Linked DNA regions of Elephas maximus indicus. The protein of the gene in region 1 purifies or fractionates together with the protein of each later gene. This does not show direct contact. Links are inferred from orthologs where the notes say so. Each region holds a gene or a part of one and is shown on either strand. Other genes may lie near its edges.

What was found.
Region 2: the proteins of VBP1 (region 1) and PFDN5 purify together in Homo sapiens (affinity purification with mass spectrometry; 7 studies listed by BioGRID and IntAct, counting the BioPlex papers as one, with this or other methods). This does not show direct contact. The link is inferred for Elephas maximus indicus from reciprocal best matches to the Homo sapiens genes VBP1 and PFDN5.

The regions. Positions count from the first base shown.
Region 1 is NC_064846.1:782,488-794,639, forward strand, and holds the start of VBP1 (prefoldin subunit 3), read right to left. Parts: upstream 5,471-12,152; 5' UTR 5,439-5,470; coding exon 5,346-5,438; intron 1-5,345. UniProt on the Homo sapiens protein: Binds specifically to cytosolic chaperonin (c-CPN) and transfers target proteins to it. Binds to nascent polypeptide chain and promotes folding in an environment in which there are many competing pathways for nonnative proteins.
Region 2 is NC_064822.1:108,803,672-108,815,932, reverse strand, and holds PFDN5 (prefoldin subunit 5), read right to left. Parts: upstream 4,462-12,261; 5' UTR 4,426-4,461; coding exon 4,354-4,425; intron 4,152-4,353; coding exon 4,049-4,151; intron 3,767-4,048; coding exon 3,735-3,766; intron 2,720-3,734; coding exon 2,645-2,719; intron 2,546-2,644; coding exon 2,440-2,545; intron 1,702-2,439; coding exon 1,625-1,701; 3' UTR 1,525-1,624; downstream 1-1,524. Other genes in the region: MYG1 exonuclease, read right to left, coding at 733-845, 1,030-1,245; ESPL1 (separin), read right to left, coding at 6,090-6,291, 6,571-6,735, 6,859-6,942, 7,102-7,217, 7,408-7,512, 7,625-7,795, 7,915-8,070, 8,390-8,512 and 6 more. UniProt on the Homo sapiens protein: Binds specifically to cytosolic chaperonin (c-CPN) and transfers target proteins to it. Binds to nascent polypeptide chain and promotes folding in an environment in which there are many competing pathways for nonnative proteins.

The DNA.
Region 1 (12,152 bases):
ACCGATCCATAATTACGCTGAATGTAAATGGACTAAATGCACCAATAAAGAGACAGAGAGTGGCAGAATGGATTAAAAAACAAGATCCATCCATATGCTGCCTACAAGAGACACATCTTAGACTTACAGACACACACAAAAAACTCAAAGGATGGAAAAAATATATCAAACAAACAACAATCAAAAAAGCACAGGAGTGGCAATGTTAATTTCTGACAAAATAGACTTCAAAGTTAATCCACCATAAAGGATAAGGAAGGACACTATAATGACTAAAGGGACAATATACCAAGAGAATATAACCATATTAAATATTTATGCACCCAATGACAGGGCTGCAAGATACATAAAACAAACTCTATCAGCATTGAAAAGTGAGAGAGTAGGAGACTTCGACACACCACTTTCGGTGCAGTCCAGAAAGAAGTTCAATAAAGAACCAGAAGATCTAAGTGCCACGATTAACCAACTTGATCTCATAGACATATACAGAACACTGCACCCAAGACCAACCAAGTACACTGTCCTTTCTAGTGCACCTGGAACATTCTCTAGAATAGACCACATATTAGGGCATAAAGCAAAGCAGCAGGATCCAAAACGCTGAAATATTACAAAGCATCTTCTCTGACCATAAGGCCATAAAAGTAGAAATCAATAACAGAAAAAGCAGGGAAAATAAATCAAACACATAGAATCTGAACAATACCCTGCTCAAAAAAGACTGGGTTATAGAAGACATTAAGGATGGAATAAAGAAATTCATAGAATCCAGTGAGAATGAAAACACTCCCTATCAGAATCTTTGGGACACAGCGAAAGCAGTGCTCAGAGGTCAATTTATATCATTAAATGCACACATACAAAAAGAAGAAAGGGCCAAAATCAATGAGTTATCCCCACAACTTGAATAAATAGAAAGACAGGAACAAAAGAAACCTTCAAGAACCAGAAGAAAGCAAATAATAAAAATTAGAGCAGAATTAAATGAAATAGAAAACAGAAAAACAATTGAAAGAATTAACAAGACCAAAAGCTGGTTCTTTGAAAAAATGAACAAAATTGATAAACCACTGGCCAAACTGACAAAAGAAAACAGGAGAGGAAGCAAATAACCTGAATAACAAATGAGATGGGCGATATTACAACAGACCCAACTGGAATTAAAAGAATCATATCAGATTACTATAAAAAATTGTACTCTAACAAATTTGAAAACCTAGAGGAAATGGATGAATTCCTAGAAACACACTACCTACCTAAACTAACCCAAACAGGTAGAACAACTAAGTAGACCCATAACAAAAGAAGAGATTGAAAAGGTAATCAAAAAACTCCCCCCAAAAAAAGCCCTGGCCAGGATGGCTTCACCTGCAGGGTTCTACCAAACTTTCAGAGAAGAGTTAACACAACTACTACTAAAGGTATTTCAGGGCATAGAAAAGGACAGAATACTCCCAAACTCATTCTATGAAGCCAGCATATATATCCCTGATACCAAAACCAGGTAAAGACACCACAAGAAAATTACAGACCTATCCCTCGCTATGAGTCGGAATCGACTCGATGGCACTGGGAGACAGACTGGGATCCCTCAAGGACATAGACGCAAAAATCCTCAACAAAATTCTAGCCAACAGAATTCAACAACATATCAAAAAAATAATTCACCATGACCAAGTGGGATTCATACCAGGTATGCAGGGATGGTTCAACATTAGAAAAACAATTAACCTAATCCATCATATTACATTATGGACAAGAATCACATTATTTCATCAATTGATGCAGAAAAGGCATTTGACAAAGTCCAACACCGATTCATGATAAAAACTCTCAGCAAAATAGGAATAGAAGGAAAATCCCTCAACATAATAAAGGGCATTTATACAAAGCCAACACCCGACATCATCCTAAATGGAGAGAGTCTGAAAGCATTTCCCCTGAGATCAGGAACCAGACAAGGATGCCCTTTATCACCACCCTCATTCAACACTGTGCTGGAGGTCCTAGCCAGAGCAATTAGGCTAGATAAAGAAATAAAGGGCATCCAGATTGGCAAGGAAGAAGTAAAAGTATCTCTATTTGCAGACAACATGACCTTATACACAGAAAACCCTAAGGAATCCTCCAGAAAACTACTGAAACTAAGAGTTCAGCAGAGTATCAGGATACAAGGTAGACATAAAAAATCAGCTGGATTCCTCTACACCAATGGAAAGAACATCGAAGGGGAAATCACCAAATCAATACCATGTACAGTAGCCTCCAAGAAGATAAAATACTTAGGAACAAATCTTACCAGAGATGGAAAAGACTTACACAAAGAAAACTACAAAACACTTCTGCAAGAAACCAAAAGAGAGCTACATAAGTGGAAAAACATACCTTGCTCATGGATAGGAAGACTGAACATTGTGAAAACGTCTATTCTATCAAAAGCGATCTATAGATTTAATGCAATTCTGATCCACATTCCAACGACACTCTTTAATGAGATGGAGAAAAATCACCAACTTCTTATGGAAGGGAAAGAGCCCGGGATAAATAAAGCATTTGTGAAGAACAGAGACAAAGTGGGAGGCCTCACTCTACCTGATTTTAGAACCTATTATACCACCACAATAGTCAAAAACAGCCTGGTACTGGTACAACAACAGACGCATAAACCAATGGAACAGAACTGAGAATCCAGACATAAATCCATCCACATATGAGCAGTTGATATTTGACAAAGGCCCCAAAGCAGTTAAGTGGGAAAAGACAGTCTTTTTAACAAATGGTGCTGGCATAGCTGGATATCCATCTGCAAAAAAAAAAAAAGAAATAGGACCCATACCTCACATCATGCACAAAAACTAACTCCAAATGGATCAAAGATCTAAATATAAAATCTAAAACGATAAAGATAAGACTGTATAAAGCTCTCAGATGAAGTTCATCCTCTGAATTAGATTTCTAAATACATCTCTAGCTGAGCACCATGAATGTAGTAAAAAGGCGCTGTTATTGTTGTTTAGTGCTGTTGAGTCAATTCTGACTCACAACGACCCTCTGTACAACAGAAGGAAGCACTGCCCAGTCCTACGCCATCCTCACAATTGTTGCTATGTCTTAGCCCGCTGTTGCAGCCACTGTGTCAATCCATCTCATTGAGGGTCTTCCTCTTTTTTGCTGACCCCTCTACCAAACATGATGTCCTTTCCAGGGACTGGTCCTTCCTGATAACATGTCAGGCACTCCTTAGAACTGCGGGTTTAAGGCACTAAGGAAGTGTGACACTTAGTTATGAGCTTACACTATGGGTCAAGCACTGTGCTAGGACCAGAAGTAACACTGAGCAAGAGAACTACCATGGGCTGCTGGGTAGTGTGAAGGGTTAAGCACTCAACTAACAGCTGAAAGGTTAGCAGTTCAAACCCACCCAGAGGCACCTCGGAAGTCAGGCCTGGTGATATGCTTCCAAAAAAGTTACAACCTTGAAAACCCTATGCTGCAGTTCTACTTTGCACACATGGGGTCGCTATGAGTGGAAATTGAGTAGAAATCAACTCAATGGCATCCAACAACAAGAGAACTACCATGCCTTCCTCCACCTAGCAGAATATGGTGGGTAGGCTGTGGAACCCCATGGATGGCCTAAGTTCAAATCCTAGATACCTCACTTACACCTTGTGTGACCTGTGACAAGTTACTCAAGGGCTCTTTGCCTCACTTTCATCATCTGCAAAATGGGAATAAGAATACCTACCGTCTAGAGTTTTACAAAATCCTTAGAAAAGTGCTGGCACATAGTAAACACTGAAAAATTTTATCTCTTGTTACAACTGTTGGGACATAATTATAAAGAAATAAATGGTACCAGCTCGGGGAGAAAACAAAGAAAATAGTTACAAAATTATATCAACAAATGCAAATACACGATATAAACCTGAAAACCAAACCTGTTGGCTGTAGAATCTATTCTGACTCATAGCGACCCTACAGGACCAAGTAGAACTGCCCCATAGGGTTTCCAAGAAGCAGCTGGTGGATTTGAACTGCCGACCTTTTGGTTAGCAGCCAAGCTCTTAACCACTGTGCCACCAGGGCTCCATACAATATTAAGTGCCAATCAAAGTGCTCTACACAAAATAATAAAGAAATGAGTCTTTTGAAGAATGTGAGGCATGATTAGCAAAAAAAGTAGAGGTAAAGCAATCCAGGTAGAAACCAAACCGAAAGTTTGAAAAACTTCCGTTGATATTTTATAGTACCTCTGCCAGAACTCAGTAAGGACAGACAGATAATACTGGCCTGGAAGGACAGTCAGAGATTTTCTCTCGTTATTCAAGTAATATTTCTGAAATAGCTTGACAGAAGGACAGAGTTAGTAGCTTCTACTTTTTTTTTTTACTTGCTTCTCTTTGTTTGGACTTGGGTTGGTCTCCCCGTGAAGCCTCCAAATTGCGTCCCCACCTTCTGTCTGAACCCAATTCTCCACTAAGGTGTTAGAATGATGTACCTAAAACCAAATATGATTATACCGTGGCTTTATTTAGAAACCTTTTCATGGCAGTCCACTGCCTACTGGATAAAGCCTCAGTTACTTAGCAACACATACAAAGAACCTCAGGATCATCCTAATCTACGTTACCATCCGTCTCTCCTACCATTCCCCCAGAGACAACAGATCACTGCATTCCTTCAACAGATCAGGTCCAAAACCAAAAACCAAACCCAGTGTCGTCGAGTCGATTCCGACTCATAGCGACCCTATAGGGCAGAGTAGAACTGCCCCACAGAGTTTCCAAGGAGCGCCTGGTGGATTCGAACTGCCGACCCTTTGATTAGCAGCCGTAGCACTTAACCACAACGCCACCAGGGTTTCCACAGATTAGGTACCAGCCTCTATTTTCACATCTTAATACCTCAAAACCAACTCTTCAGCCTACACCACGTTCGATTCATTATATTCTGTCCAATTATTTGTCTGTCTCTCCAGCATCTAGGCTGAGTCGTGAGCTTTTTCACGTTAACCTTCTCTAGGTTTCCAAAGGCCGCAGCTAAAGAAACCCGGCAGCGGTGCGGTCCCTCAGGTCGCCCTGCCTGCTCTCCGAGCCCCGTCCGCCCCTGAGTCCCGCCAGCCCGCGCTCCCTTTTCTCTCAGGCCGCATTTCCTCAGGGTGGACCGCAGTTGAGATTAAACCGTTTAGATGCGGTGAGGGAGAGAAGGCCGAGCACTCCCGCCCTGGACCTTGAGCTCAGCTCCGTCCTCCAAGAGTCAAGGCCGAGGTGGGGTGAGAGGACGAGAAAGCTCAGTCCGTGGCCTCGGGCCAAGGAGCCTCGGGCCCGCGTGCCTCTTACCACAAACACGGCCACGGGAATCCCCAGGTGGAGCCGCCGCCCATTCCCTGTGGCCACTTCTCCGAGGCCACAACCGTCCTTAGCAGCCGCCATCTTGGGGAAGCGTGTGCGGCCAGGCTCCAGACTAACTGCCTCCCAGGCCGCCGGCCCGCCTGAGGGCCGTGATTGGCTCGCCAGGCCCTGTAAGCCCGCCCCTTTCCCGTGAGTCTGCTCAATAATCGGTGCGCGGAAAGTAGCTACTCTTCGCTGATTCGCCCAACCTGTGGGTGCTGATTGGCTGCCCCCAGAGTGACAAGCGTGGAGGCGGCAGCCTAGGAGCGGCTGAGGGCTGCTGGAAGGACTAATTTCGACCCTTGGGTAAACGGGTCTCGGGGATTTTATGGGTGCGTTTAGGGCTGGAGAGCCCGGGAATCGGGAACCAGCCTGGACTACACTCCACCCCAGAACAGGCAGCATGCTCCAGAATGGCATCCCGTTCGACCCTGTCTCTTCTCGGACAAGATCTAACTTGGGACCTAGACGCTTACCATGGGAGTTTGGCCTCTGCCCCTTTCCGGTCTCACCATACAGGGAGCTTCCTGCTCCATGGAGGGGACTTAGCTGGTGTCTTATGAAGTGCAGCCGCTGGCCTGATTCTAGTCAATACTACCCCCATCGTACCAACCTTTCCCGAAAACCGCCTTTGTTCAGAATCTCATAACCCCAGCTCAAAGGTTTTCCAACTTCATAATCTCTGTATAAATTCCTGAGAATTCTACCTACACTCCTAGGCCCACAAACTTCCCCAGCAACGTCCTGCACTACAACACATTGAAAGAAAGAGCTTTATTTTTTGAAAACAAGGAATTCTTGGGTCTCTTTGCTGACATCTACCTACCATGCTTTGTTCTTCCCTTTGCTTTCACTGGAATGCTTCCTGAGGAGCCCTTCACCCCCTCAGACACAGTCTACCATGAATAAGGGATAAAAGCCTGTCCCCTTCCTTAGTGGGGACACATATACGTAATAATGATAAAAACCTGTTGCCATCGAGTTCGACTCATAGTGACAGAGTAGAACTGCCTCATAGGGTTTCCAAGCAGTGGCTGGTGGATTTGAACTGCTGCCCTTTTGGTTAGCAGCCCTAGTGCTTAACCACTGTGCCTGTGCCACCAGGGCTCCAATAATAATACTGGCTAACATTTATTAGGAAGCTCTGGTGGCGTAGTGGTTAAGTGCTATGGCTGCTAATCCAAAGGTCAGCAGTTCAAATCTACCAGGCTCTGGGGCAGTTCTACTCTCTCCTATAGGGACTCGATGGCAACGGGTTTGTTTTTTTTGGGTGAACATTTATTAAAATCTAACTGTGTACAACTTAACAAAAAGACAACCCAATCAAAAAAGGGTAAAGGACTTGAACGAGCATTTCACCAAAGAGGATATTCGAATGGCCAACAAGCACAAGAAATGATACTCAACGTCATTAGCCCTCGTTACCATTGTTGTTAGTCAACTCGGCTCTGTCTCACAGCTACGTTGACTGGTCCTGCACCATCCTCACAATAGTAGGTATGTTTAAGTCCATTGTGGCACCCACTGTGTCAATCCTCTTCCTCCTTTTCACTGACCATCTACCAAACATGAATGAAGTCCTTCTCCAGGGACCTGGTCCCTCTTGATAACATGTCCAAAGTAAGCGAGACAAAGTCTCACCATCCTCGCTTCTAAAGAGCACTCTGGCTATACTTCTTCCAAAACAGATTGGTTTGTTCTTCTGGCAGTCCATGGTATATTCAATATTCTTCACCAACGCCACAGTTCAAATGCATCAATTCTTCTTCAGTCTTCCTTTTTCATCGTCCAGCTTTTGCACGCACATGAGGCAACTGAAAAGACTATGGCTTGAGTCAGGTACATCGTTGTCATCAAAGTGACATCTTTGCTTTTTAAGATTTTAAAGAAATCATTTGCACCAGATATGCCTAATGCAATTGCAGGGCAATAGATTGCTTTTATATGGCCTTTCTCACCATGGTTTTGTAATTCCCACCAAATGACAGGGCGGGAATATGCAAATGATGTGCTTGTGGCCCACCAAGGGGACTGGATAGCTTGCTAATAATGTAAATAAGGTGCATGGCACCCTTGTGGGGCTGGAATCATGCAAATAAGGTGTATGGAACCCTAACAAGGGGATTGATCAGTTTTGCCATTCTGCCAGCCTTAAAGGGTGTCTTAGTCATCTAGGGCTGCTGTAACAGAAATACCACAAGTGGATGGCTTCAACAAACAGAAGTTTATTCTCTCGCACGCTGGTAGCCTAGAAGTTCGAATTCAGGGTGTCAGCTCCAGGAAAAGGCTTTCTTTCTCTGTTGGCTCTGGAAGAAGGCCCTTGCCATCAATATTCCCCTGGTATAGGAGCTTATCCATGCAGGAACCTTGGGTCCAAAGGACATGCTCTGCTCCCGCCACTGCTTTCTTGGTGGTATGAGGTCCCCGTTTCTCTGCTCACTTCGCAAGAGAGATTGGCTCAAGACACAATCTAATCTTGTACATTGAGTCCTGCCTCGTTAACATGACTGCTACTAATCCCATCTCATCAACATCATAGAGAGAGAATTTACAACACATAGGAAAATCACATCAGATGACAAAATGGTGGATGATCACACAATACTGGGAACCATGCCAAATGGATACACATATTTTTGGGGGACACAATTCAGTCCATGACAAAGGGACACATGGAGAGATGGAGAGAGGAGCTGTAACATGGAAGACAGCAAGAGATGGTGGCTTGAGGTGGCAGGAATCAGGAGACTGGTGCAAGATGGCTTCAGTGGGGTTTGTTTGGTTTTAAGAAGTCTTCAGGGGATATTTTTGGTTTAAAGTTTAAAAATTATTTCAGGGCAATATTTTCCGGGGATCATCCAGCCTCCATGGCTCCAGAAAGTCTGGAGTTTATGAGAACTTTAAATTCTGTTCTACATTTTCCCCCTTTTGATCAAGATTCTTTTATAGAATCTTTGATCAAAATATTCGGTAATGGCAGCCGGGCACTATCCAGTTCTTCTGATCTCATGGCAAAGGAGCAGTTGTTCATGGAGGCAAAGGAGCAGTTGTTCATGGAGGCAATTAGCTACACATTCCATTTCCTCCTCCTGTTCCTGACTCTCCTTCTTCCTCTGTTGCTCTAGGGGAATAGAGAACAATTGTTGTGCCTTGGATGCCTGCTTGCAAGCTTTTAATCTTTTGATTTCTTGACTACTGCTTCCATGGGCCTTGGTTATTGACCTAAGTAAAATAAAATCCTTGACAACTTCAACATTTTCTCTGTTTATTGTGATGCTGCTTATCGGTCCATTTGTGAGGATATTTGTTTTCTTTATTTTGAGGTGTAATCCATGCTGAAGGCTGTAGTCTGTCAGTCCACCATCTGGAGTCAGTGTCTCATACTGTGGTGGCTTGCATATTGCTGTGATGCTGAAAGCTATGCCAACAGTATTTCAAATAACAGCCAGACCACCCCTGATGGACAGGTTTCAGTGGAGCTGGGAGACTAAGATATTAGGGAAATGCAAATCGAAACCACAATGAGCTATCATCTCACTTCCATTAGAATAGCAGTGATCAAAAAAACAGAAAACAACAGGTGATGGTGAGAATATGGAGAAGTTAGAACCCTCATCCATTGCTCGTGGGAATGTAAAATGGTGCAGCTACTGTGGAAAACAGTTTGGCAGTTCCTCAAACAGGTGAACATAGAACTACTATATAACCTAGCAACCCCAATCCTAGGCATATACCCAGAAGAAGTGAAAGCAGGAATGCAAACAGAAACCTGTACACCAGCGTCCAAGCCAAGGGGCCCTGGCAGTAGGACTGTTGTTTTTGTTAGGCGCCGTTGAATCCGTTCCGACTCACGTTGTTGTTGTTCTTAGGTGCCGTCGAGTCAGTTCCAACTCATAGCGATCCTATGCACAACAGAACGAAACACTGCCCGGTCCTGCACCATCCTTACAATTGTTGTTATGCTTGAGCTCATTGTTGCAGCCACTGTGTCAATCCAACCTCCTTGAGGATCTCCCTCTTTTCCGCTGACCCTCTACTCTACCAAGCCTGATGTCCTCCTCCAGGGACTGATCCATCCTGACAACATGTCCCAAGTATGTAAGACGCAGTCTCGCCATCCTTGGCTCCAGGGAGCATTCTGGTTGTACTTCTTCCAAGACAGATTTGTTCGTTCTTTTTGGCAGTCCATGGTATATTCAATATGCTTCGCCAACACCACAATTCAAAGACGTCAACTCTTCTTATTCATTGTTTTCCTTATTCATTGTCCAGCTTTCACATGCATAGGATGCGATTGAAAATACCATGGCCTGGGTGAGGCGCACCTTAGTCTTCAAGGTGACATCTTTGCTCTTCAACACTTTAAAGAGGTCCTTTGCAGCATATTTGCCCAATGCAATGTGTCTTTTGATTGCTTGACTGCTGCTTCCATGGCTGTTGATTGTGGATCCAGTTAAAATGAAATCCTTGACAGCTTCAATCTGTTCTCCATTTATCATGATGTTGCTCATTGGTCCAGTTATGAGGATTTTTGTTTTCTTTATGTTGAGGCGTAATCCATACTGAAGGCTGTGGTCTTTGATCTTCATCAGTAAGTGCTTCAAGTCCTCTTCACTTTCAGCAAGCAAGGTTGTCTCATCTGCATAATGCAGGTTTTTAATGAGTCTTCCTCCAATCCTGAAGCCTCATTCTTCTTCATATAGTCCAGCTTCTCGGATTATTTGTTCAGCATATGGAGTAAATAGGTATGGTGAAAGAATACAACCCTAACGCACACCTTTCCTGACTTTAAACCAATCAGTATCTTCTTGTTCTGTCCGAACAACTGCCCCTTGATCTATGTAAAGGTTTCTCATGAGCACAATTAAGTGTTCTGGAATTCCCATCCGTCGCAATGTTATCCATAATTTGTTATGATCCACACAGTCGAATGCCTTTGCATAGTCAATAAAAACACAGGTAAACATCCTTCTGGTATACTGTGCTTTCAGCCAGCATCCGTCTGGCATCAGGAATGATATCCCTGGTTCCACATCCTCTTCTGAAACCAGCCTGAATTTCTGGCAGTTCCCTGTTGGTATACTGCTGCAGCCGTTTTTGAATGATCTTCAGCAAAATTTTGCTTGCGTGTGATATTAATGATATCGTTCTATAATTTCCAGATTCAGTTGGATCACCTGTCTTGGGAATAGGCATAAATATGGATCTCTTCCAGTCAGTTGGCCAGGAAGCTGTCTTCCATATTTCTTGGCATAGAGGAGTAAGCACCTCCAGCACTGCATCTGTTTGTTGAAACATCTCAATTGATATTCCATCAATTCCTGGAGCCTTGTTTTTCGCCAATGCCTTCAGAGCAGCTTGGACTTCTTCTCTCAGTACCATCGGTTCCTGATCATATGCCCCCTCTTGAAATGGTTGAACATCGACTCATTCTTTTTGGTATAATGACTGTGTATTCCTTCCATCTTCTTTTGATGCTTCCTGCGTTGTTTAGTATTTTCCCCATGGAATCCTTCACTATTGCAACTCGAGGCTTGAATTTATTTTTTCTTCACTTCTTTCAGCTTGAGAAATGCTGGATGTGTTGTTCCCTTTTGGTTTTCCATCTCCAGCTCTTTGCACATGTCATTGTAATAGTTTACTTTGTCATCTCGAGCTGGCCTTTGAAATCTTCTGTTCAGTTCTTTAACTTCATCAATTCTTCCTTTTGCTTTAGCTGCTCGACGTTCGACAGCAAGTTTCAGAGTCTCCTCTGACATCCATCTTGGTCTTTTCTTTCTTTCTTTTCAATGACCTCTTGCTTTCTTCATGTATGATGTCCTTGATGTCATTCCACAACTCGTCTGGTCTCCGGTCATTAGTGTTCAATGCGTCAAATCTATTCTTGGGATGGTCTCTAAATTCAGGTGGGATATATTCAAGGTCATATTTTGGCTCTCATGGACTTGCTCTGATTTTCTTCCGTTTCAGCTTGAACTTGCATATGAGCAATTGATGGTCTGTTCCACAGTTGGCCCCTGGCCTTGTTCTGACTGATGATATTGAGCTTTTCCGTCGTCTCTTTCCACAGATGTAGTCAATTTGATTTCTGTGTGTTCCATCTTGTGAGGTCCATGTGTATAGTCACCGTTTATGTTGGTGAAAGAAGGTATTTGCAATGAAGAAGTCGTTGGTCTTGCAAAATTCTATCATTTGATCTCCGGCTTTGTTTCTATCACCAAGGCCATATTTTCCGACTACTGATCCTTCTTTGTTTCCAACTTTAGCATTCCAATCAGCAGTAATTATCAATGCATCTTGATTGCATGTTCGATCAATTTCAGACTGTAGCACCTGATAAAAATCTTCTATTTCTTCATCTTTGGCCCTAGTGGTTGGTGCGTAAATTTGAATAATAGTTGTATTAACTGGTCTTCCTTGCAGGCATATGGATGTTATCCTATCACTGCCAGCATTGTACTCCAGGATAGATCTTGAAACGTTCTTTTTGGCGATGAATGCAACACCATTCCTCTTCGAGTTGTCATTCCCAGCATAGTAGACTATATGATTGTCTGATTTGAAATGGCCAATACCAGTCCATTTCGGCTCACTAATGCCTAGGATATTGATGTTTATGCATTTCATTTCATTTTTGACGATTTCTAATTTTCCTAGATTCGTACTTCGTACATTCCAGGTTCCAATTATTAATGGATGTTTGCAGCTGTTTGTTTCTTCTCATTTTGAGTCGTGCCACATCAGCAAATGAAGGTC
Region 2 (12,261 bases), on another chromosome or scaffold:
GAATCATGACAGGAAGTCCCAGAGGACAAAGTAACAGAAACGTGGGCAAAGGACTGACCTCCAACAGAAGGGGACACTTTGCTTCAATTGGAAGGAGGAGGCTGAGGGTGTTCAGGAGTGGGAAACTGAGGAGTCCATGAAGGAAAAGCTCAATTTTCTTTAAGCAGGAGGCAGGGACAATCATGGAGGGAGTTTAATGAGATAGGGGCTTGAAGAGAGGGAAAAAGGATCGAATGGCAATGCGGATAATGGACTACCCTCGGACAAGAAAGATTTCCCAGTGGAAGAGTCTAAGTGAAGTAGGAGAGTATACACATCCGAACCATCCTGCGTCCACAATTACTGGGCCCAACCAGCCTGATACGGGGCAGCAAAGGCAGAATGGATTAATCCAGATAAGGTATTACTTGGGGTGATGGCTGTGCTGGTGGGAGAAAAGCCTGCCTAAGCCAAAGAAGGAGGTAAGTCAGGAGGGGCCTGAGGGACTGACTGCTGGGAAGCCTAGGGAGATGTGGGCTGACTTGAGGGGTCAGGGAAGTCCAAGGACAGGTAGATGGGTAAAGGGCAGGCAGCTGGATGGATGGAAGGCTATAGTCCCAGAGAGACAAAGGAGTTTGATTTCAATAAGGCAGTTCCCTCTGCTGAGAGGGACCACGGTAATGGACAGCTAAAGCAGAGCACGAAGGGAAGATAAAGTCAAGGAGGTTAAGGAAATGGGATCCGGAAACCCACCTTTGGTGATGGTCATATCGATGTCTCTGAGGGTCGTACTCGCCACCCACATCCACCACTATGTCACACGAGGCCAGTTTTTCCGGGTCCCGGGTCCGCACAATCTCTGCATCCTGCGGGTGACATAGGAGATGAGGAGGCTGCCGGAGTCGCGCGGGCAGACGATTAACGTTGGGTTTCCGGGGGAGGCAGGGTGCTCGGGCCGCTGAAGAGCTACGAGGGACCCTGTGACAGGAACGGGCTGGGGCGCCCCGGAGGCAGTTGGGTGGGACCAGGATCAGTTTTGTGGGACTGTACCCGGTACTCGGGCAGGAGGCGAAGGAGCGCGCATGCCAGCGCCTCGTCGCAGTGAAAAGTGCCGTTGTGCGTCCCAATTCGGGGTGGTGCCATGAAGTCGCCACGGGGACGTTTGGAGGGCGGGACAGACACTGGGCCGAGCATGCGGCGCCGAGCCTGCAGGGGCGGCAGCAGCTGCAGCAGCGGTACGAGACGGCCCAGGAAGCGGTGGCCCATGCAGATCCCCCGGCGGGGAAGCGGGGCGCCGACCCGGAATAGGAAGTTCCCTTGCGACCCCACTTCCGCTTGCCGGCCGTTCCCACGGCAACAGGCCTGGCAAGAACTCGCGGGCCAGCACAGACTCTCAGCTCCTCGAAGGGCCCCTTGGGTGGAGTCGCCAAGATACACTCCGCTTCACCTCGGTTTACCTCGCCCACTGGACCACCCCATTCCTAGTCCCTGATTAATGCAAAAACAAAAACATTCTGGCCAGCTGGCACTTTTATTAGCGTTAAACACAAGCTCGACGAGACCCCCGCCCCCGCCCTAAGAAGCCATGCCCACAGAGTCCCAGGCCCCTGAAGCAGGGTCCCTCCGCTCTATTTCTGCAACAAGTTCAGGCCTTGGCAGTGGCCTGAGCTGCTCCCAGAGCTGTGAGCTGCTGAATCTTCTGGCTCATCATCTCCATAACAGCTGTGGACGAAAAAGGAAGAGTAAGACCCTGGTCAGAACCTAACCTAGAGGTAAGGAAAAATGACAGGTTTGAAGGCAGACCACTATTTACAGTTTGTTAATAAAGTTTTTAACACAGTGATCCACTGTGGGAGACACACAGTAACACAAATTCAGATCCTACAATGTGTTAAGTCATCAATACATTAACGAATGAGCAAAGCTATTTTTTAATGAGTCAGACATAACCAGAAAATTATAATGTGATAGATTTTTGCCTTTAGAAGTAGTTCTAAGTCCTGACTGCAACAGAATCACCTGGGGAACTTTTAAAAAACACTGACCCCTGGGAACAATTCCCAGAGATTGATTTAGTTGGCCGGGAGTGGACCCAGGCTTGCTTTTTAAACTTCCCAGGTGATTCAACGCACAGCCAGGGCTACAATTGCTAGTATTAGTTTGGGCTATGTTTCTTTCCTGCCATTCTATTCCAATTAGATAGGAGCTCCACAAGAACACAGACATGATTTCCTTCCTCCAAATTTCTCAAGCACCCAACCAGGGATCTACAAATAGTGGGTACATAGGTCGAAAGAGTAACACAGATCTAAAGAATGATACGTGAAAGCACCACAGAAAGAGATACAAAAACATGGTTTTAATTTAGCAAAAGGAACACACCCATGATTCACCCTGCAATCCACTTCTTTACCATGGAGGTCAAAAACAGTGTCAGGAGGTGCCCCAGGCCAAGCTTACCCTGTTTCATGGCATGCTTTTCCTGCAGAGCTGGCTGGATTTTCTCCATCTGCTTGGTAAGGAAGTCTACCTTCCTCTTGAAGAAGTCCTTGGCATCCTCAGCTGTCTACATAGGTCAGAGGTTAATGGGGGATAAGAGCAGACCTCATGCTGCACCTTAGATATTTCCCTGTTTAGAAGGGCATCCACGTTTCCTCCAGCTCACCTTCTCTACATAGTAGCCAGTTCCCACATCGATGAGCACATGTTCCACATCATGTAGTTTCCCAGGGACATACATCTGAGAAGCAAGGATTAAGGGAAAAACTAGCCTAGCATTACCCTTGGTTCCCTGTCAGCCAGCCTACTTGACCTCCTAAGACACTTCTTTTCTAAAATGCTGAGACACAGGTACTGAATAATCTAGAGGCTTGAGAACTATACCTCTAAACTCCAGATGGGGAAAGACAGAGAAAAGTTGGTTCCCTATGGAGAAAATGACATAAGATGGAACACTCTCTTGCCCTGACCCCATCCCCCACCCTCCAAGCAGTTTTCATTAAGACTTCATATTAGCTATTCCAGAAAGTCTAGACACAATGTTTTCCCACTGCTCTAGCGTAGTGAAAGTGAAAAGTCAGCCTTGTTTTTCCTTAACATCTCCAACCATGGACTAGATAATTCCTAAGGGATTTAATGTTCATTATTTAACCATTCCCAACTACACTGCTAGCCCTTCACTACAGTGCTATCACACTTCAAGTCTATGTACTCCCTGGTACTCACAAGCTGTTAGCTGGATGTTGGCCCCAAGTTAGATAGGGGAGCTGGAAAGTGTGTATAATAAGAGGAGTGTTCTCAAAATCATGGGGGACTGTGGAGTAATCAAAACTACCTTCCGGCCCTTTTTTCCCCAGGGGAAAGGAAGAAGGCAGGAGAGCAGTTCTTTTAGCCTGTCAGTTCTCAGACTACAGATTACAAACGCTGTACCACCATAACCTGCTCATGCAAGTAAAACACTCAACAGGTGGACACAATCCCTGTTGCTTAGCGACCGCAGTTTAGGAACAGTTTCTATATCCTATTCTTCTATTGCTCGTGTCTTCTACCTAGTTTACTAGCCAAAGTGTAAACCCCCAGTTTTATCTCCATATTACATTAATATCTTCAAACAGCAAAAGGGAAGTGTGTATAATAAGAGGGGTGTTCTCAAAATCATGGGGGACCGTGGAATAATCAAAATTACCTTCCCCCCTTTTGTTCCCCAGAGGGAAGGAAAGGAGAAAGCAGGAGAGCAGTTCTTGCCGAAAGGATACAGAACTCGTCAGTGGGACAAGTAATTCTTTCCCTGTGAAAGCAATAAAGACAAACACCTGGGGAAAGTTGGCAGCTCCAACGTTAAGACGTTAAAGGGAGTTCAAACATGGCACAGCACCCAGAGAAAGAATGAAAAGAACAGAAACAGGGGCAGCTCTAGCTAAGCAACATGCAAAGGGTTCATGAAGCAGTATACAATATGTAATGGATTGTTTTCTTCCCTCAGGTAAGGAAAACTAGATTAGGAGGTGGTACGAGAGGAGAAGCCGGCTTGCCACATTCCTCAGGTTGCCCTCACCCGCCTAACCCATACCCTCGTTGCTCTTGTTCAGCACGTTCAGACAGTCCTTGGCTTCCACGTACTTGGTCTGTACCACTTTGAGCTGGGCAATGGACGTGGACAGGAATTCCACTTCCTGCATATAACGGGAAACAGGGTCCGTACAGGGGCTTGAGAAAGAGGGGAGCACGGCCGGGGAGGGGGCGGCACCTGGGACGCGGTGGGGCTTTCGGCTGGGAACGGAAGCTTTCCAAACTGGGGAGGAATGCGGGCGAGGGAGTAGTGTGGGCAGGGGAGATATGAGGCGGAAAAGGGGCGTCTCAGGGGCCCGTCCCCACCTGGTCCAGCTGGTTCTTCAGCATTTCTAGCTGCGGTAAATTCAGCTCCGTGATATTAACCGACTGCGCCATGTTGGGAAGGACTAACGAAGGGAAAGCCTGTTCGCCGGCAACGCTCTAGGCGTCCACTGCACATCTCTATGGCTGCGCCGGGAGGCCTCGCTGCGCCGGACATCTCTATGATCCTCCGTCTCGGAAGGGAAGGAGGGACTGCCACCTCTCCGGCGCTCCCGTTTGGTTAGAGAAGTTAACGACGCTCATTCTATAAAGAAACCTAAACCTAGTTCAGTAAAGTTGTAGCAAACAAGACTCCTGCCATCCAGGAACTTAAAAATAAGACAAGTACTGTTGAGTTGATTCCGTTTCATAGCGACCCTGTGTACAACAGAATGAAAACACTGCCGGGTCTTAAAACCACAGTATTGGAAAGCAACGTAATGTATGCTACTCCACGTGGGTGGTAGTGACTGATAGGCAAGGAGCAAGTTCTTTGGACAAATGAATATGAGTCTGGAGGCGGAGAGAACGGTAAGGAGGTACCATTGTCAACCAACAAGTACAGCAGAGTTTATTGATTAATGCAATCTATTTTACCATGTGTTGTATGAGGCATCCATCATCCAGTTTCTTACTGTGCTGGCTTGCATGTTGCTATGATGTTGGAAGCAATGCCATCAGTATTTTAAATACCAGTAGGGTCAGCCATGGTGCACAGTTTTGAGCAGAGCTTCCAGACTAAGAAAGACTAGGAAGAAAGGCCTGGTGATCTACTTCTGAAAATTAGACAAGGAAAACTTTATGGATCACAACAGAATATTGTCTGATTGTTTCGCTTTGGACACATCATCAGGAGGGATCAATCAGTCACTGGAAGAGGACATCATATTTGGTGAAGCAGAGAGCCAGCAAAGGTGATGGAAAAACCCTTGGTGAGATGGATTGACACAATAACCACAACGATGGACTTGAAAATGCTGGTGATTGTGAGGATGACAAGCCTAGGCAATATTTTGTTCTGTTGTACATGAGTTGTACGTGTTGTCCATGAGTTGGAGTGGACTCAATAGCAGCTAACATACAGATAAACATAAGTTAGGAGGGATATATGGAATGTAAAATGCTATTTGTGCTTCAGAGGAGCTTACAGTCCATAAGCAGAATTCCACACACAATCTGCTGCTACAGTACATGGCACTGCCAAGTGTAATAGCTGCACCTTCAGAAGAGAATAGCTAGTCTCTAATATCCACTTAGGAGAGGGGCAGGGCAACTGAGGACTAAAGCTAGTGTCACTCCCAGGATATAGACATGATGGTAACTGGCCAAGATGCTCTCAGTGAGTCTATCTCTACCCTTGGGCCTCTATCCCCACTGAAGAGTATTTTGATGCACTTCTCTCCTTCAGCTCTGTCTGTTGAGGCCAGGCCAAACCAGCTGTTCAATGGCTTTGTCTTCCCAAGGCTCTCAGACTTGAATTCCTGCAATCTGTTCCCACTCACTTAAGTGCCACATACCACATAGTAGGAGTGGGGCAGTAATCTTGTCTTTAAATGTTCTCAAGACGAGTTGCATAAAAGAGAGTTTAAATAACATCTTTATTATATTAAGTCGAAAGGAAATGTTTCATATAAAACAGCGGGGAAAATCACTTAAAATATTTAGCCTAATGGTTTAATCTAAGTTTGGAGATAGAATAGTCACATGGCTTCTGTCAGAGATACGACACTTCCAATGGGTTACCGGAGAGAGACAGGCAAGCCATAGGCGACTGGTGCAGCTCCAATAAGATACTTGAGTCTGGGAGCCTGGCGGGCCTGGCTGACATAGTAGAGAAGGGGGGCCCCTGGACCTGCTCCAAGCCAGCCCTGCAGCAGAGCCGCCGTGTAGCGATCAATGTCACGGTCAGTCACATCCCAGAGATTACCCAGAAACAAGGGGCTGGGAAGAGAAGGGAAGAAATACAAAGTAAGGGCTCTGAAAGAGAATACATAGGAAAACATGATTGGGTGTGTATGGGGTAAGTAAAGAGGGCTGAACTAATGAGGAACTCCCTTGGCCCAGAGTTCTAAGGGTTAAAAGTCCTGGCATACCAGGGAGCTAAGACAGGAAGAAAGTAGAGCATAAGAGAGGTAGGTTCAGGGTTCAAAGCTGGGAAAGAAGGTGGAGTGGGAGCAGGAGTCTTGACGCCCCAGGATGGGCCTGCCCCTCAAGACTCACCAGCCAGCCATGATATACTTGAGCACAATGCCAGCTCCCTCCAGGTTTCCATGCACAGCCAGGGCCGCACTGCTGCAGCCAAACAGCAGGGCCACTGCCCGGCAGCTCAGCCGCAGGACAGCCTGCCCATCTAGGAAGCGGGCACCAGCCCCATGTCCTGCATAGCTAGAGTAGAAAGGGGAGAGATGAGCCTTGACCTACCAGCATCGTGTCTCTGCCCCAAGGCAAACCACAGTGGTCCCCTCCTGGGATGCCCCTCCCCGCATCTCCCCCTCTCTGAGCACTCACATATATAAGTCATGCTCCGTCAGGGCCGCCTGCACCTGCTCCGGGCTTGGGGTCTCCCCAACCACCCCTCTCCAGCCGGCTTCACTGCAGGGAAAAGGCAGCAGTTAGAACAGGGAATGGCATGGCAGGGGCCATGAAGCAAAGAGGACGCTAGGTAGAAGGCGGACTACAGCAAAATTCTGGAGAAAAGGACATGTTGTCTCTACCCTTCCCACCCGCCTTTCTTACTCTCACCCCTCTGACCTGCTAAAAGTGGCTCGAAATTGCTCCTCTGTGCTTGACAGGTTATTGTGAGGGTTCAGGACATAGAAGGTGCTACGTGGATCCACGCCTTGGCTCAGCACTGATGAGGCCCCGGACTGAGGAGGAGACACTGGTGATCAGGATACTGGTCTGGCCAGTAGGCCCAAGTTCCGGCATGCTCCAAGCCCCTTTCCATTTCTGACGCATTCCTAAGGCCCACTCATGTCTCTAGAGCATTCTGCCTGTGTCTTGCCTCAGGTCTCCCCCAGTAGCCAATCATCCCCAGCTCCACACCTTGAGCCTCACCTCTTTGATGATGGAGTAGGTGAGTAGAAAGCGGAAGGAGGGCAGACGGGTGAGAGGCAGTGCCCGGAGGCTGGGCATGGTCTCCCATGGCAGCTTCTGCAGGTCCTGGGCAAAAAGTACTCAGAGGTTACTGTCCCCAGCCAGGTATACATAACAGGCAGAAGGCGCACAGGGATGGGACAGCACCCATTGTCCATCTGCTCCTCCAGCTCCTTACCTTATCTAGCACCAAGACAAGGTGCCTATTGCTTGGCACTGTCAGACCTTGTAGATGTCCCACTGCCTCACTTAGGAGCTCTCGGGCTCTCTCCGGCTGGGCTGGGCACAGCCCATAGGCCAAGGCCTGAATGTCCTGAGGGGTGAGAGTACTGGCACCGCTGAGCAGGATCTGCAGGGGAACAGTGGTTAGTGGGTGCCATCACCCACTCACAGTGGCCTTTTTGCTAGTGGAAGAGAATTAAGTCCGCAGGCTAACTGCTTCTTCCCCTCCCTGCTTTCTTAACTCACTTTCAGCAGAGTGGGATTGGGATATTTCCAGCCACATTCCTGCAGCAACTCCTCTAAATGGGAAGCCTCCTGGCCAAGGCCTGGGTCCTCACTGGATGGCAGCAACAGCCCCCGCCAGCAGCCCAACACATACTTCTCTAGGGAAGTGATGAGAACCTGAAGGTGGGAGAACAGAATCTTGAGTCAGAGAGGAAGCTAAGTTTCTTTCCCCATGGGTACCAGCATTCTGGAAAGAAATGAGTTTTCCAATGTGTGTATTTGTCTTGTATATCTTTCTGCCAGTCATAGAAGGTAAGAAACCAGGGGCTGGGACTCTGACATGGTGTCACTCTATTTTGACAAATGTGACCAAATCCAGTTGCTGTCAATTTTGACTAATGGTGACCCCATGTGTATCAGATTAGAACTACGCTCTGGCATCCCCTGAGCCATTCCTAGGGCAGGTCTGCCTTCACCCCACCCTGGGGGCACACACCTCCATCCTATGATCCAGTTCGAGTCGCCCCTTCCACCATTCTCGCTTGTCAGTACAGCTGCTGTTCTCTTTCTGTTCCTTCTGGATGGCATCAAACTCCTTTAGGGCTGAGCTCAGAGAAAGCTTTGGGAGACAGGGTCATGAGATCTCTGCTTGTCTGCATGACTGCCATCTCTCCATGCCCCAGCCACAGAGCCTGAGCAGCCTGACCAGAAACCCACGCCAGCCCTACTTTGTCCCCTGGCCCAGGAAGCCTACCTTGCTTTGGGAAGTGGGGATCTGCACAGTGACCGGGGGATTGTCTTTTTCCAGCCGGGTCAGCAGGAGGGTGTTGCCCACAGTTCCAGGCTGGAGGGTGGCCAGGGCCAACACACACACAGTCACCCCTGACACAGAGGACATACCCCAAGTTATTTCAGCTGTTGCAAAGAATTCCCTTCTCTGGCTTCTGTACTAATCCCTATCCAACACTCGAGATAATGCACGAAGTCTTCCCTTGCCGTGGGGTTCAAGGTGCTCTCCCTTGCCCTAACAGCTCCCTGTGGACAGAGACCATGTTTGGAGTTCTTTGTGTCTCTCACAGCAACTAACAAAGGGCCTTGCACAGAGTAGGGCACTCAAATCATCTGTTAAGCATTTCATATTACAGCAGGGAGACACCAGACAGCTGAGCTCACCCCTGAAGACACTGAATTTGCTGATAACTCAAAGTTGAGGCTTAAAAAAGGAAAAGATTTCCAGATTTAAGATGTCTGGTGAGAGATACAAAATAACGAACACAGGAAAAGGTATGACATGTCTTTCCATAAGGATCATAAATTAACTAATGCCTTAAACACCTTTATCCAACTTCTCAGGAAGGAGATATATAAAAGAGCAGGCCAGAAGCCTGCCACTGTACCACTGGGGATCAGAGCCAGGCGCTCCTTGAAACTCTCCTTCTCGGGCTGGGGAAAGTGGCCAGATCCCGAAGCTCTGAAGGAAAAGAGGCGCTGGATGTGGGCCAGGGGGACATCTCCAGCCTTCTCCTGGAGGCTTAGCCTCTGCAGCTGCTCTGACACTTCCAGTGATCCTTGGTGCTTCTGGGCCTTGCTGCAAGCAATACAGGTAGGGGTGAGCTTCCCACTCCTTCAAAATCGAGACCCTCCTCCAGTCTGTCCCAACCTGGGTCCCTCTGCTCTTAGTAGGAGCCTTAGGGATGGTGGGCACTCACCTGAGCTGCCTGTGGAGGTGGGTGAGCAGCTGGTGGCGACAGGTGATAGAGACAGACTCGGTGACAAGGAAGGCAGTGGCATAGGGATCCCGGTGGCCCAGACACAAGGCCAGGAAGCGGCAGAGGTGAGCATACAGTCCACTAGGAGGGCAGTGACTGACCCCACGGAAAGCAAGGCTCAGTGAGTCACAGATGGAATCCAGGGTGGAGAGACCTAGAGGTAAGTCAAAACACTTCTACAGATGAATCCCCTTCTTCCTAGTTGACAGGAATTTTCCAAGAAGGAATCCCTATCTCCCATATGAAAGCAGCAGCTACCATTTACCATGGGTCAACTTACTCCATCCTCCCAAAAACCCTGTGGGTAGATATCACTTCCATTTTACAGTTAAGGAAACAGAAGCTCAGAGATGTGAAGTGACTTGTGCACAGCCAGCAGAGTGAGAGTGCTGAGACTCAGACCCAGGTTCAAAGGCTACCAGTTCCAGACTAGGATCCAAAGCCAGAACCATGCATGGACAGACTGGAAAGGCATTGGGATCAAGAGACCTAGAGGTGCACCCTCTCCAAGGGACCAATCTTCAGGGGTCAGCATATTCACCAATGGCTACAGGGGCTGAGGGGAGCTGGAGACGAGGGCCGAGGTCCTTGTTGCGTTTCTTGTCTGGGCACGGAGTGGGCAGCTCCTCCTTGCTGAAATCCCGTCTCAATACCTCACATTCTCCTACGGCTGCATCAGGTCCTGGAGCTGGTGCCTTCTTACCTGGGGAGAGAATATGACTGTTTCACAGAGTTCTCTCCTGCCATCCCCTTTGTTCTCCCTTTTGGAGCCATTTCCTCAGAGCCAGCAAAAGAACTTCCTTTCTGTACTGCCATTGGCACCAGTAATTTCTTCAGCTTTAGTCCCAGAACAGCCCCCAAGAAATATATTCACTCTCTACCCTGCACCCTTGCCATCATACCTGAGGCTGAATCTTCCCCATCTGAACCCCTGAGGATCTCAAAGCTCATTTCCATCTGGTTGCCAGCCAGTTCCTCCTCTGGGATAGTCCTCATGATCTCGGGGGCCCTCTGGGCCCGCTCTTCACAATGTCCTGATACCACCTTCTTGGCGCTCCGACTCCTGCCACTTGGGCCAGGGTGCCCAGGGACACTACCTGGGACAACCACCGCATTAGCCTTCGAGCTTGAGCCCTTCCTAGTCCGGCCCCGGCCCCGGGAAGCAGAGCCACATCTCTTAGGCTCTTCTGTAAGCTGTGCCTCAGCTGAGACAGAGTCTTCCAAGTCACTGTCATCACTGAAGTTCACCTGGGATGGATGGAAAAGGGAAAAGAGCCAAGAGGCCTTCAGTGGCAACACACCTTCTGGCAGCAGGTGGCGCTATGGAGTCACCCCTCAAGATTTAAGAATTACCTTGCCGCATACACTCCCCCAACTCTCAATCAGAGGCAGTTACTCTAGGATGTGGAAGGAGGGAGAGGAGGGAACAAAAGATATGGATGAGAAGGGAGAAGAAAAAGAGTTAAGGAAAGTCCATCTGAAACAAAGGTAGACGTGGAACCACGTCTTGCTGTGGAATACCTAGGGGTCAGGTAGGTAACAGGAGTGATTAAGGTTTCACTGGGCCCTGGGAATCTATCCCACAGGGACACTTGCTCTGCAGAACTTTCTTCCCCAGGACCATGCCCACCCAACACCACACAACCTAGCCATAGTCCCACCTCACCTTGAGGCGCGTCTGGACCTTCTGTCGTACCCTGGGGGCCTTGGGAACCTCAGGCTTGCTCTTCGTAGGGAAGACTTCTTCAAACACAGTAAAGGGGATGCGAGGGCCAGCCTGCCTAACCCGGCCTAGGGGCTTGGGTGTACAGGGTGGTCCTCCACCTTCCAGGCCCTTCAAAGAGGTGTTATGGACAGGCAGTGTAGCAGAGGTCAGATGTTTTTTGCTCTGAGTCTTAGATGGCTCTGAGGCTGGGGGGGTCTTTATTACTGGTGGCTGCCAGCCCCAGAAGCTTGCAAAAAGTTGGGTAGTACAGCAGTTGAGGCCAGCCAGCTTTGCAAGGGCTTGAGTCAACAGCAGGCTGGCTCGCCAGGGCTCCAGGAGGGGTATCCGCGCTGCCACAAACTTCAGCCCTGACTCTAGGATCTTACCCAGGCTCTTGTCTGATGGCTGGCTCAGGCCCTCCAGTGCCAGCTGTGTGTATGCTTGAGCCAAGATCTCATCCAAGAGGCTCGGGTCAGGGGGTGCTCTGTGATTCAGGGAAGCCTGTAGAGCTTGAGCGACGCGCTTAGTGGCTGCAGGGCAACCCTTCAGTACAGTCTGCAGCAGGTCCAGACCCTGGGCCTGATGGCCCATGGCCAGCCTCACCCCTGCTGTGACCAAAGCCCAGCGCAGACAGACTGCTGAGAGGACAGGACTGGCACAGAGTGAACAGTCACAGGTGGGCGGGTGGGATAGGAAGCCAGGGCTAGCCTGGGGCTTGGTTTTCAGGATCGGGGAGGAGATAGTAGACGGTGCTGTGGGGCCAGGCTCCTTGGCCACAGTGGCCACCAGCTCCAGAGCAGGGCCTCTTAGGAAGAGCTCCTCCTCCAGGAGCTCTGGAGGACAGGAGACCCCGGCCTGCTGCTTCCCCTTCTGAGGGTGGACCTTCTTCACAGA